Linked DNA regions of Nothobranchius furzeri. The protein of the gene in region 1 interacts with the protein of each later gene in a pairwise test. Links are inferred from orthologs where the notes say so. Each region holds a gene or a part of one and is shown in the gene's direction. Other genes may lie near its edges.

What was found.
Region 2: the proteins of hoxa1a (region 1) and fam221a interact in binary tests that used the Homo sapiens proteins (3 or more experiments, as listed by UniProt). The link is inferred for Nothobranchius furzeri from reciprocal best matches to the Homo sapiens genes HOXA1 and FAM221A.
Region 3: the proteins of hoxa1a (region 1) and nell2a interact in binary tests that used the Homo sapiens proteins (3 or more experiments, as listed by UniProt). The link is inferred for Nothobranchius furzeri from reciprocal best matches to the Homo sapiens genes HOXA1 and NELL2.

What each region holds. Positions count from the first base shown.
Region 1 is NC_091751.1:29,552,084-29,556,396, reverse strand, and holds the start of hoxa1a (homeobox protein Hox-A1a), read left to right. Parts: upstream 1-1,481; 5' UTR 1,482-2,649; coding exon 2,650-3,250; intron 3,251-3,608; coding exon 3,609-3,988; 3' UTR 3,989-4,313. UniProt on the Homo sapiens protein: Sequence-specific transcription factor. Regulates multiple developmental processes including brainstem, inner and outer ear, abducens nerve and cardiovascular development and morphogenesis as well as cognition and behavior.
Region 2 is NC_091751.1:26,510,156-26,514,196, forward strand, and holds the start of fam221a (protein FAM221A), read left to right. Parts: upstream 1-1,228; 5' UTR 1,229-1,303; coding exon 1,304-1,368; intron 1,369-1,500; coding exon 1,501-1,674; intron 1,675-1,757; coding exon 1,758-1,948; intron 1,949-2,031; coding exon 2,032-2,105; intron 2,106-2,169; coding exon 2,170-2,299; intron 2,300-4,041.
Region 3 is NC_091744.1:61,426,194-61,430,284, reverse strand, and holds the start of nell2a (protein kinase C-binding protein NELL2a), read left to right. Parts: upstream 1-1,278; 5' UTR 1,279-1,496; coding exon 1,497-1,548; intron 1,549-1,724; coding exon 1,725-1,853; intron 1,854-4,091. UniProt on the Homo sapiens protein: Plays multiple roles in neural tissues, regulates neuronal proliferation, survival, differentiation, polarization, as well as axon guidance and synaptic functions.

The sequences.
Region 1 (4,313 bases):
TTTCTTTTCGTAAATGCGCAAAGCCATAATTTGAGCTATTTCCAATTTCAGCTGCAGGAATAAATAATTAGAAGACCAAATTTGCACCCAGGATCTGAGCATGACAAGGCTCCAAACACGGCGTGCAAGTTGCAAGCAAACACCCGACCCATGTTTGCCTTCAGGAGCTCATAAATCACTCCGTGGCATGAATGAGGCGGACATTAAAGAGAGCAATTGTGGCGTAATGTGCACAAATAAAAACCCCACTTACGTTTTCATGCGGGACTCCCCGATTCCTAAGCTAAAAGGGGCCGAGCTCTCTGCGTGCGTTTGGTAATAATTCATTTTTATGGCTTGTTTAACACGCGGCTCTGACTCGGAGACAGCAGCAGCAGCAGCTCAGGTTAAAGCTGCTCTTATTTAGCGTCGCTTCTCCACTCACACTGGTGGAATCTGTGATTTTTTTTATTTAAAGACAAGACTGGTTTGTGTGCGTTTCAAACCCCTCACTTCAATAAAGGGATTATGAACATTTTAGCACTCTTGCGCAGCTTTGATTGGATTTATGGGAACTCAATAATCCAGTTTAACTCAGAATCACTAAAAAACACCAGTTGAGATGAAAGCTGCAGTGATTTTTCAAAACGTGTCAAACTTAGCCGAAAGCAGAAAATCAGCTCTAACTTTGGCTGTGTGCGTGTGTGGGTGTGTGTGTGTGCGCGCGCGCGCGCGTGTGTTCAGATGAGGGGGTGGTAGGAGGAAGCAGGGGGCAGATGCTGCTCTCCTGCACTACGGGCCTGCATAACCAAATCATTCCGAGACAGCGCGCCTTTTCTGCGCCCCCGCGGCCACACAAAGAGCCGCGGAATCTCCGCGGGGCCCGGCTGGCCTCAAGCAGCAGAGACGCGATGGATCCTCCGCGCCCACTCACTACAGAGGCAGCTGCTGGAGAGGGGTGGGGGTGGAATGGAAACCAGTTCGTCTCTCTCTCTCTCTCTCTCTCTCTCTCTCTCTCTCTCTCTCTCTCTCTCTCTCTCTCTCTCTCTCTCTCTCTCTCTCTCTCTCTCTCTCTCTCTCTCTCTCTCTCTCTCTCTCTCTCCCTCCCTCTGCTATGTAGTTTGCAACAAGTCTTTGAACATTTTCACATCTAATTTTGTTTTTCTAACATCCTAAAACATTACATTTAAGACAAAGTAGAACTACATTTGACTAATGGAAAAAAGCTGCACATTTGAATGTTGCTAATATTTTACTGATACTGCTTGTTTGAGTACCAGTGAGACAACTTAGACGTTTGTAGGAAAAATAAATAGAGTGTAAAATCTGAATCACGCTTTTCTGAGCTGAATTAATCTACTTAATAACAGAAGCACGTTTATTTAAGTGCATGTCTATCTTCAGCCTGAGGGGGCGCTCATCCCTCCATCTGATCCTTCCCTTCGCCCTCCCTCCCTCCCTCTCCTCTATTCCTTCCTCGGTTAGAGGTTGGGCATCTGCTACAACCCCCTCACTCCCCTCCGCTCTCGCGCCTCCCGTGACCATTCGTTTTCCCAGCAGCTTTATTTGATGAACTTAACAGGATAATCAGCCCACTCGCACCTCGGGCTACATATGCGCATTAGCAGGCTTCGCATTATTATATCATTTGATCACCATACATGCATAATGAATACATGCGGGACTGGAACTCTGGTAGATGGCTGACCTATGACCCGAGAACGGAACAAAACATTAATATCACATCACCTTAATGGTTTTGTCTCCTAATCACGTTTGTGCGCTACTTCAGGCACATTTTAAACGTAATTTGAGCTTTTTGCGCATCCTTTTGCGGTGTTTTATGAATATATGACCGGATCATCTCTCCTCGTAACGTGAAATGCACAAACCTGCTCCTGCTGCGACCTTAAGAGGAAACGAAATTCTGCTGGAAGGTGGCTTGGTGCGATGGGATGGATGTATTTAACAGGGGAAACACGTCCTCTCCATCACATTGTAACAATATTTGCCCAGAAAATCCCTTAATGTTCCAGCGTGAAACATTTCACATCGGAATGGGACATTAATAGCCTAAAGATAGCCCGCGGCTGCAGCGAGCGCGCGCACTCTCAGCCATCCATCCTTCCTGGACAGAATGACACATGCGACACCAGGGCTTATACGCACGGAGACGCCAACACACGCGCGCACGCACACAGACTCACACTTCTCTGTTCTAAAAATACCTGAGGTCAGAGTGCAGAGCGGTCCACCTTGGATGACATCTCTCCTCAGTGTGAGATTGCGCAGCAGGGGGGTTAAAAGACACCGGGTTCACCGTCTCAGCAGCTCCTCGTGTGTCCCGGAGCTGTCCACCTCCGTCTGCCTCCCAGCCCATTGTTTGCTCGGCCAATACATTAGTGGCGACGCGCGTCACCTTGATCGACGAGCGCCTGGAATTTAAATAGCCCCTCAAACACCAATCTGTCACCGGCTAAAGGGACAAGGACCCTCACTGGCTGACCCGTGCCCACGTGACAGTGCCCGTTCATTGATATCCCCAGCACCCCCCTCCCTGCACTGATAGGGACAGAAAGGTAAAGGTTGGCACGGTCACTTTAGGGTGAGAGTGTGGAGAGATCAGAGGGGGAGAGGACAGTCTCCTGGTCCCAGACTAACGATGCTACAATGAGCAGCTTCCTAGATTACTCGGTGATGAGCGGTGAGGGTGGCTCATGTTCGATCAGGGCTTTCCACTCGGACCACGGGATTACAACTTTCCAGTCCTGCGGGGCTGCAATCAGCAGCTGCGGGGCGGATGAGCACTTCATGGCAAACAGGACTTCCCCTGACAGCATCCCTCACCAGCCGGCCTCTTACCAGCCTACTGCCACCTCTATGGGTCTCTCCTATGGGGCCCACCCGGCCTGTGGCTCTAACTATGGGCCCCAAAGTTTCTGCGCCACGTACAACCACTACACACTCAACCAGGAAGTAGACTCTGCACCTGCATTCCCCCAGTGCAGCCCTTTGATGTTTTCAGGTAACATCTCTTCCTCCATGGTGTCTCAGCATCGCCATGGCTACAGTGCTGCCACCTTGGGCCAGCTGCAGTATGCTGCTTATGGCGGGGGTCATGAACAGGCACCTTCTTATCCTGGGGCCTCCAACCCGCTGTCACCTCTGCATGCAGCTCACCTGGAAGCTTGCTGCTCACCTCTGTCAGAGAGCGCATCTTCTGCGCAGACTTTCGACTGGATGAAAGTCAAAAGAAATCCACCGAAAACAGGTGGGTGCAGAGCTGTACCAGCACGAGGGAGATAGGTGGGAATCTAGTCTGTTGCTATTATTGGTTTTAATTGGTTTTAATCGGTCAAGCAGACTGGAATCCACACAGGAGATGTTGACACTGCGAGCGCGTTGACGCGCAAACGCATTAAATGTCCATGTTTCCACTTCAAGCGTGCGCCCCTTTCTTTTAAAAGTTGGTTTAAAGACATTTGTCTTTAACTATAGAGTGTGTTTTATATGTAAAATAATTAGGTTTTCTTTGCCTGCTGCGTAAAAGTTGGTTCTTTTGGATAATCGCACAGTTTGTGCGTCCTTTGGGTGAGAAAATAAACTTGAATCCCTCTTCCTGTCCCCAGGTCGCTCCGGCGAGTACGGCTATGCGGGCCAGCCAAACATCGTCCGGACCAACTTCACCACCAAGCAGCTGACAGAGCTGGAAAAAGAATTCCACTTCAACAAATACCTGACCCGGGCGCGCCGAGTGGAGATTGCTGCTGCGCTGCAGCTGAATGAGACTCAGGTGAAGATTTGGTTTCAGAATCGGAGGATGAAGCAGAAAAAGCGCGAGAAAGAGGGGATGCTGCCGGCTAAGGTCCAGTCATCGCACCCGGAAGAAATAAATCAAGAGAAATTAGACGATGCCGCTTCTGAGAGGTCCGTCTCAGCGCCGTCCACGCCCTCTCCCAGCTCATCCACGGTGTCCTCCACTGGCACGGACACGTACACCTCTACCTGAGCAGCCTATCTGGGCCACACGGGCCTGTAAATACCAACGTTTAAATGTATCAAAACCAGAGTCTTTGTTCGTGAATGACATTGTGTGAACATTTATTAAAGTTAGTCCTCCATCCGGGAGCTTTTGGATCACCCTGGAGCTTTAGGTTTAAATTGTGCAATGTGTCTGCAAGAACATCTCTGTATCTTCAGATAAGTTTGATCTGTAACGTGAGCAAAAAAAGGCAGACACGAGTCTGCAAACGAAAACAAATGTAAAGTGGTGTATCCGGGTCATGGCGGGTATGCAGCGCAGGGTGCTGTTAAGTGAGCAACGCAATGACCTA
Region 2 (4,041 bases), about 3.0 Mb from region 1:
TGGGAAAGCTGTGTAAACTCACATCACTCCCCTTGTTGCCCTCTGACTAGAAATTACATCCAAAAGCAGCACAATGCGGCATTTTACTTAATTATTAATATGGTGAGTGCATAAACAAACACTATAGCGTCAATAGCTGTTCTTCCAAGAGCAACCAATATACGTCATCGCCCCCAGAGTGCATTGCGTGCAGAAAACATGGCGTCCTATGTATGTCAAAAATGTACTAAATATTATAGATTTATAAAAAACAGCAATAGTTTGTATGTTTCTAACAACATAGTTTGGAACAACAGAAAACTCGTGGCTTATTAGGGCATACACGTCCTTATAGGCGGAGTTCCTTTTAAAATGACAACGAGGAGATAAGTTTCACTTTTGTTTTTATTAACAAACACTAGGGGGTGCTAAAAGCAAGCCAAAACGGCATAGTATCCCTTTAATGATAGTTTAATGTAAAATCAGGTAAAGGCTTTGAAACCTAAAGAAGACACTAACTTGTTAAGGTCTAAGAAGCTGTTAACTTTCACTCCTGCAGAATTTAAAGTGTTTTTCTCCTAACAGAGGATGCTATTTTTAACTTTTATGCATAAAAATGCGTCAGTTCTCGTAAAGAAGTGGATGTCCGTGTGATGAAGATGACAAAGTTACAACAAAGAAACGTTAATGAAATATAAAAAAAGAAGATAAGTGTGGTGATGCATTTAGAAAGGTTTTGAATATCACAAAGATTTGCCATGAAATATAATAATAATAATAATAATGCATTGAACTTATATAGCGCTTTTCTAGACACCCAAAGATGCTTTCACACACACTCACATTCACACACTGCTAGTGATGGTAAGCTACCTGTGGCCACAGCCGCCCTGGGGAGGTCTGACGGAGGCGAGGTTGCCATTTGGCGCCATCGGCCCCTCTGACCACCACTAACACAGGCAAGTTGGGTGAAGTGTCTTGCCCAAGGACACAACGGCAGGATAGCCCTGGCGGGAGCTGGAATCGAACCCATGACCCTCTGATCATGAGGCAACCCGCTCTACCACCTGAGCTACTGCTGCCCCAAAAATATGTATCATTAATAAAAAGGACATTTCTGATATGATACATTTACAACTTTAACTTGCAACGTTGGTTCATTAAAGTCTGGCACGTCTGGATTTTTGTGTGCAGTTTGAGTTTTGCCCACTAGAGGGAGAGCTGCATCTATCTCTATGGCAACCTTCTTTCAGGTTGTAAACAGTCGTTCTGAGCTTAGCAGTAGACAGCAAAACAACACACACAAGTAGTGATATCCAAGGTAATGGCTAGAAAAGGTCTGAATAAATCAGCTTTAAAAGCTGTGGATGACTACTGGGAGTACACCAGGTAGGAGCTTCCCTCCCGACTCTCAGCGTTTTCAGAACTGTAGCAACTAAACGACGTCTAAGAACAAATAGCAACAGATTTATCAGCACGTGTCTTAACTGTTGTTATAAGTCGTTGTGATGTGTTTCTAAGGATTGTGGGTGAGGATGATGGAGGTAACCTCTTCACTCCAGAGCAATATGAGGAGTACAGGAGAAAGGTTTTACCTCAACGTGTGCAGAACAGGTTGTACGTGAGCTTTGGTGTACCTGGAGGTGCTGACTGTAAGCAGATTGGCCCTGAGACGCAGTGCTTCTGCACCCACAGGTAACCTTTCATCTCAGATTACATCACACACCCTAATCTCACTCACACGGACAGATTAATGGGAACAATTTATTATCAAACAGGTATAAGCAGCATAAGACCGAGTGGGAGGTGGTGCCCTCTGAGCGACCTCTCGCTCTACCGTGTCGGGTCAAAGGATGTCTCTGCTCTGCGTTCAGGTTCGTTCCACTTGTGGGATCGAGTCCTGTGCGCTGCAGGTGTAAACACCAGCTCCAGGATCACAGGGAAGATGCAGCACATCTGTGCAAGAAGTGTAAGCATGGCATCCAAACCAAACTCACTCCACACTCAAACTGAAGTTCTTTCATTTGTGTTTTTTAATCCTTTACGTCCCAGGTGACTTCTGCTCCGGGTTCCAGAGTCCGTACACTTGTGGCTGTGGCCAGCCCTGCTATGCACACCAAACCCTGGTACGGAGACTTTAAACAAACACAGTATTTATAGTTATGAACGTATTGCTTTTGTTCTTCACAGGTTGAGACAAAGCAGGAAAGGGAGGCAAGAGGTCAGCCAGCTGGTAAAGGTGTTCCTTATGCGGCCATGGGTGGACTGACGGGCTTCAGGTCTTTGCTGGATGGTTACCTCAACATGGAAGCCTCTTCTGGTAACAATGTCCCCTGTAAAGTACAACTTGTTAATCTTTAAAGCTGCTATAGCCATCCATCCATCCATCCATCCATCCATCCATCCATCCATCCATCCATCCATCCATCCATCCATCCATTGTCATCCGCTTATCCGGAGTCAGGTTGTGGGGCAGCAGCCTAGGCAGGGAGCTCCAGACATCCCTCTCCCCAGCAATCTCAACTGGCTAGCGAATCTGCAAACAAGTTTTGAATGCAATCACAGTCTCGGAGCGCTCACCCCTCCTCTCGGGTGTCTTTCCTGGATCCGTGTTCATTGGAACTGCAAACCCACATTGCCAGAGTAAACCAGATAGTGCAGAACACCACTCGTTGTTTCTAGGTCCAAACATCTTTTGTTGTCCATGACCTCACTTGGAGAATAGAGTCGGGTCGCGGGGGCAGCAGCCTAAACAGGGAGGCCCAAACTTCCCTCTCCCCAGCCACTTGGGCCAGCTCCTCAGGGGGAATCCTGAGGCGTTTACTGGCCAGTCGAGAGACATAGCCCCTCCAACGTGTCCTGGGTCTTCCTTCAGGTCTTCTCGCGGTAAACCTCACCAGGGAGGTGTCCAGGAGGCATCCTGCCCGAGCCACCTCAACTGGCTCCTCTCGATGTGGAGGAGCAGCCGGTCTACTCCCATCCCCTCCCGGATGACTGAGCTTCGCACCCTATCTCTAAGATAGAGCCCAGCCATCCTGTGGAGAAAACTCGTTTCAGCCGCTTGTATCTGCAATCTCGTTCTTCCGGTCACTACCCAAAGCTCATTACCATAGGTGAGGGTAGGAACGCAGATCGACCGATAAATCGAGAACTTCTCCTTCCGGCTCAATGTGGTAGTGTGGCGGATCGGTGACACTGACACCCAGATGGTCCAATAGTTGGTTTTGGTCGGAGCCGTGTTATTGGTGGAGGATTTTAGACGAATGTGAGAGAAGCACTTGACTCATTTATGTGCATCTATATATATATATTAGCTGTACTATATTAGAGTTCAGTTCAATTCAATTCAATTTTATTTATATAGCGCCAAGTCACGACAAGAGTCGTCTCAAGGCACTTCACATTCCAATCCGGGTCAGTTCATTAAACCAATCAGAAATAATGTTTCCTATATAAGGAACCCAGCAAATTGCATCAAGTCACTGACTAGTGCCAGTGACTTTACAGCAATCCTCATACTAAGCAAGCATGTAGCTGTTAAGAGACATAAATGCAGCTTTCATTCAAAACATAAAGCCCAAGCATGCAATAAACTCATTGATGTCTAAGAGTTGTATACAGAGTGAAAACATCAGCTTTCTGCGAGGAAAAAGGACTTTTGAATGCATTTCAGCCTCTTTGACACCTGGAGTCGGTGTTTTTGGCCTTAATCAGACAGTCAGTTCACAGGCGCTCATGTTTTCCATTAGAGGATGAAAAATTCCTCTGAGAGGCTTGTGAGGGCAGCAAAGAGCAGCGTGGAGTCACTACTGACTGAATCATGACTACAGAGCAGGATTTTGTGCAGGTCAAAGTGTGTACAATACGTCTTACTGCACGAATCTGTCTATCTGGAGCAGAGCTGAAAGGCTATTGGGGAAATGTCTTTTTTAACACAATTGCAACAAAATGTTGATGAATATTCTGCCACTTTTGTTCGTATTTGTGTCCTTTCATGGCTGTCATCACCTGCTGCTGACTGGTAAAACTCAAGCTTTTCTTTAGTGACACGATAAACGGTTC
Region 3 (4,091 bases), on another chromosome or scaffold:
ATATGCTGTTACTTTTGATGTCTTTCATGAGGATGGTGACATGATGCTTCTTCATGTGAATAATCAAGGATTTCACTTTTGTAGCTTAAAACACATGCTTGATCAAAGTCAGACTAAAATAATCACTAAAGTTGTGGAAAAATCGGTAACAAGATTTTTCTAATCCGGATAATAAATGTGATACACAAAACCTCAGATGAAAACATGGTGCACTCAAGGGTTTAGTGGCTTGTAAAAATGCTTTCTGCAGAAATAACTTGTGTCTTTATTGCCTATGAAATTACCAGGCACTTTGTCCTGAAAGACATTTAACTCATTCTGAATCACGATCATGCAGTGGAAGATTTGTGAGGTGGTTTATTCATAGCTCGGATCTTTTGAAGTTGTTTAGAACATTTTAATGTGGATAGATGAATAATCTCAGTTTGCTGAGGCCCTAATATTCCTTCTTTAGCTTTATGTTGGTATCATCCGCCAGGGTTTTGCACAGATTTCAGACCAAACTAATCAGTCCTGATGGACCTCCACTTCTTCTTTGCTGCATGTGTGTGTATTCTCCTCCCAAACCCCTTTATCCGGACACACAGGTGTGATCACGGATGTGCCACTTCTTTGCTTTTCCTTTTGCTGGTTGCACATAAGCTATACTGCCTCTATTATTTTCATTGGGCCTGCTCCTGTTAACACTTTCTCAGTACATCTTTGCACGCTTCTTAAAACAACTTTAATCTCAAAAACTCATTCATATAAACAACTTTATTTTGCATTATATCATTACTCTGGTGGTGCTATTCAGAAAGCCTGACTGGATGCATTGAACACAGAACCAGATTTGCACAAACATACATTTTCTTTGCTCATTTCTTCTGTGAATAAGCAAATAAACACACATGGCAAGCAAAGCATGGGAAGTCTTTGCAGAGATGAGCAAAATAGTTATGATATGAAATTTGATTTAAAAAAATCATCTTTCATCCTTATTAAAATGTTTCTTCCAAACAAAGCAGAAATTGATGACTAAAAGAATCAAGTGTGGCTGTAAGAAGAAAGAAAATCATAAAACATTCTCATCTGTTGCCAGCAGGGGGCCTTGTTGCTCCTGTATCTCCCGCTCTCCCTCTCTCCTCATCTCCTCTGGTCATCCTCCAGTCGCAGTTCTCGGTTCTAGAGGCAGGACAGCTCGCCTCGCGCTGTGCGTCCTGGCATCCACCTGTACCGCGGATGGTTCTGCTTACTGGACCAGACCTCGCCTCAGTACATGGCGTAGTTTCTGCACGATACTTAACGTTTTCCCTCCTTCCTCCCTGGATTCGCCTTTTATTTCATTCGCATCACCGGAGCATCTAAAGTTGTGATGATGCCTCCGACCTGCAGCGTTTGGGATTTTTAATCGCTTCATTTGAGAGGCGGATTTATTGTAATCGCCTGTGATTCAACAACACGGTCTCTCGCAAGTGGACAAATCATGGACTAGTTGTTTCAAAAAGACAGTCACTATGGGATTATTTCAGCGGTTTCTGGTTCTCTGCATGTTTTGCATCTCCTCAGGTAGGACACAATGTTGCCATCTTGCAACATGCAGATGTAGTCATTTTGTGGCATTTTTTGTTTTGTTCGGATTTCACCAGATGCTTTGGATTCTGTAGAAAATGTGATTTCTTTAGATAATCTTGTGTGCTCTTGAACTCATAACAGCATTGGTTGTGTTGTGTGTTGTGAATAAGTTGTAGGTTTTGGGGTTGACCCTGCCCTGCGCATCAGCGTGTTTGATGAACTAACTCTTGGAGAAGGCTTTGATGGAGTTACTCAGGTCCAGGGCTTCCACGGCGAGTCTAGAGCTTTCCACTTCCAAGGTACTGAAACACACGTTCCCTGGATCTTTCCCCCGATTAAATCTAGCTCATGGGGTGGCTCATCCTCCTGTGCTGACGCTTTTTTTTTTTGCAGGGGCGCATCCAGAAAGTTTTTTTTTCTTTAAAGAGTGCACCAACTGGGTCCTCTAATAAATTTGGGGTGGCTCAACAAAACCAATGGCCATAATATAATTCAGTGAGTTTTGTTATACAATTATAAGATATAGAGTAAGCTATTATTGAATTCATATTTATTCTATGCTACATTTTAAGTAGGTGGCAAGAGTTATACAATCGACAAAATTTGTATTTTGGTTAGAGGTTTAGTTCCAAACACAGTATAGATGGCAGAACAATGGCAAAACACAATGGAGGCCTATTACCTGCTTACATTTGGGCTCCATCAGCTACTATCTGCTTTTATAGGAATGCTTTCTGTCCATTTGTTCCTCATCAACAGTCAAATAAAAATGACTTTTATTTAGTTTAGGTCTATATGAGTTTAAAATGTCTGAATTTTATAAAACTGTCAGAGTTTTGTTCTAAACTGGGCTGTAGATATTTTATGCTAGACTGAATTGATGCTATAAAAATAATTAATTTTATACAATTAGAAATTTTCATCTCCACTTAGTGAACACCTATGCCACCCACTGTCAACACTGAGAAACTGCAGATTCATTAAAATGTGAACTCCTGATTTTTTATGCTTTAAATATTTTTATTAAAATACTGGTGTCCTTTCAAGATATAGCCTACTTGTGATTAAAGTGTACATTTATGAAGGTTTTGAGTTTTTTCTTATGAGAACTGTCACATATTTTGTACCTTTATTTTATTTTCAACCTTTACCCATAGTCAGTCCGGAAGAATCCCATTGAGTCGTGTTCAGATTTTTCTGAGGGCGTTTGATGATCCAGTAATACCTCTGTCCAAATACCCATAAATGTGATTCTTACTGTTCATAACAGCAACATATTGCATGGATTATTTTTGCGCCTGTGACAGGAGAAAGCCTCAGGGGGTTTTCCCACCTGCCTGAACAATCGGCAATATTAGGTCATGAAACAGCGAGGGGTCCAGGGAGGAGGAGGTGGTGGGAACATGCAAAGAATTGTGGGAATAAGTTATCCTAATCAGATTAGACTGGGGACACAATTCAAGGATATGTTTTTGTGGGTCTGAGGAGTGAAAGAACACTTTGCTAAACAAGTCATCTTCTGGAAAGTGACAGAGCCGTTTGGATCATTTTCTTTTCCAAAATAAGAACAAGCAGAGTGAGTCGTGTGTCCAGGTTTTCAGTTTTTAATTAAAAACATTCACCGTGATGTTTAGTAGAACTGCGTACGATGGAGATAACAACATTTTAAAGATGATGTGCAGTGAAACATCTCCACGTTTTCCACATTTAACTTCAGACACTCATTACCATTCAGCTAATACTGTTAACGGCTCAGTCACGAGGATGGAGATGATTATCTTGACTCTGATCAAAGTAGCAGAAAGGGAAATGGATGTTTGGCTTTGAGATCTGCTGACATTTGAATGACCCCTGGAATCACATAATATTCCAAATAGTTGTTTTGGAACAAACTCCTCGAACAGTCGTCAGGATTTGTCATCTTCTTGCTGATACCTTCTAGCCTCCATGCACAGCCGCTGGGGCGGCATTGCTGCTTGCCTGGTGCAGCAGCTCCAGCGTCTTTGTGAAGGCAGACTGTTTGACGGCTTATGTGTAGACAAACACTGAAAGTTGCTTTATGCCGAGCTGGTGTAATAGAGCGATGGAGAGAGACTGAGACTATAGGGAAGAGTTGGAAATAAACAAAGACACTTATAAAAAGAAGCTCCCGCTGCTTTTGTCACCAAATGAAAACGTGCTCTGCAACCTTCTGCCACCTCTCCGTCATCACGCCCTCGTGTTTGGCTGCGTTACCTTTTCTACATTCAGTCGCTCGTGTGGAGCAGGCGTTGTGTGTTATTTATGGCCAAGCTTGCCTCCATTCTTCATTTGGGATGTCTGTGTTAAGTCAGTAATGTTGGGTGAGGGGGAGGCGGGGGAGGCAGGCTGCATTTTGGCAAAGCAGACCTGGGCCCTGTGCTTGTTTGTTATCGGAAACAGACAGAGGGAGGCACATTCCTAGTCGAGACGCAGAAATGAGTGAGCCGGGATGAGAGAGAGGAAGGAGAGCGCTGTCTGCCAGCTGTTTGATAGACTGTGTTGATACCTCGTGTATG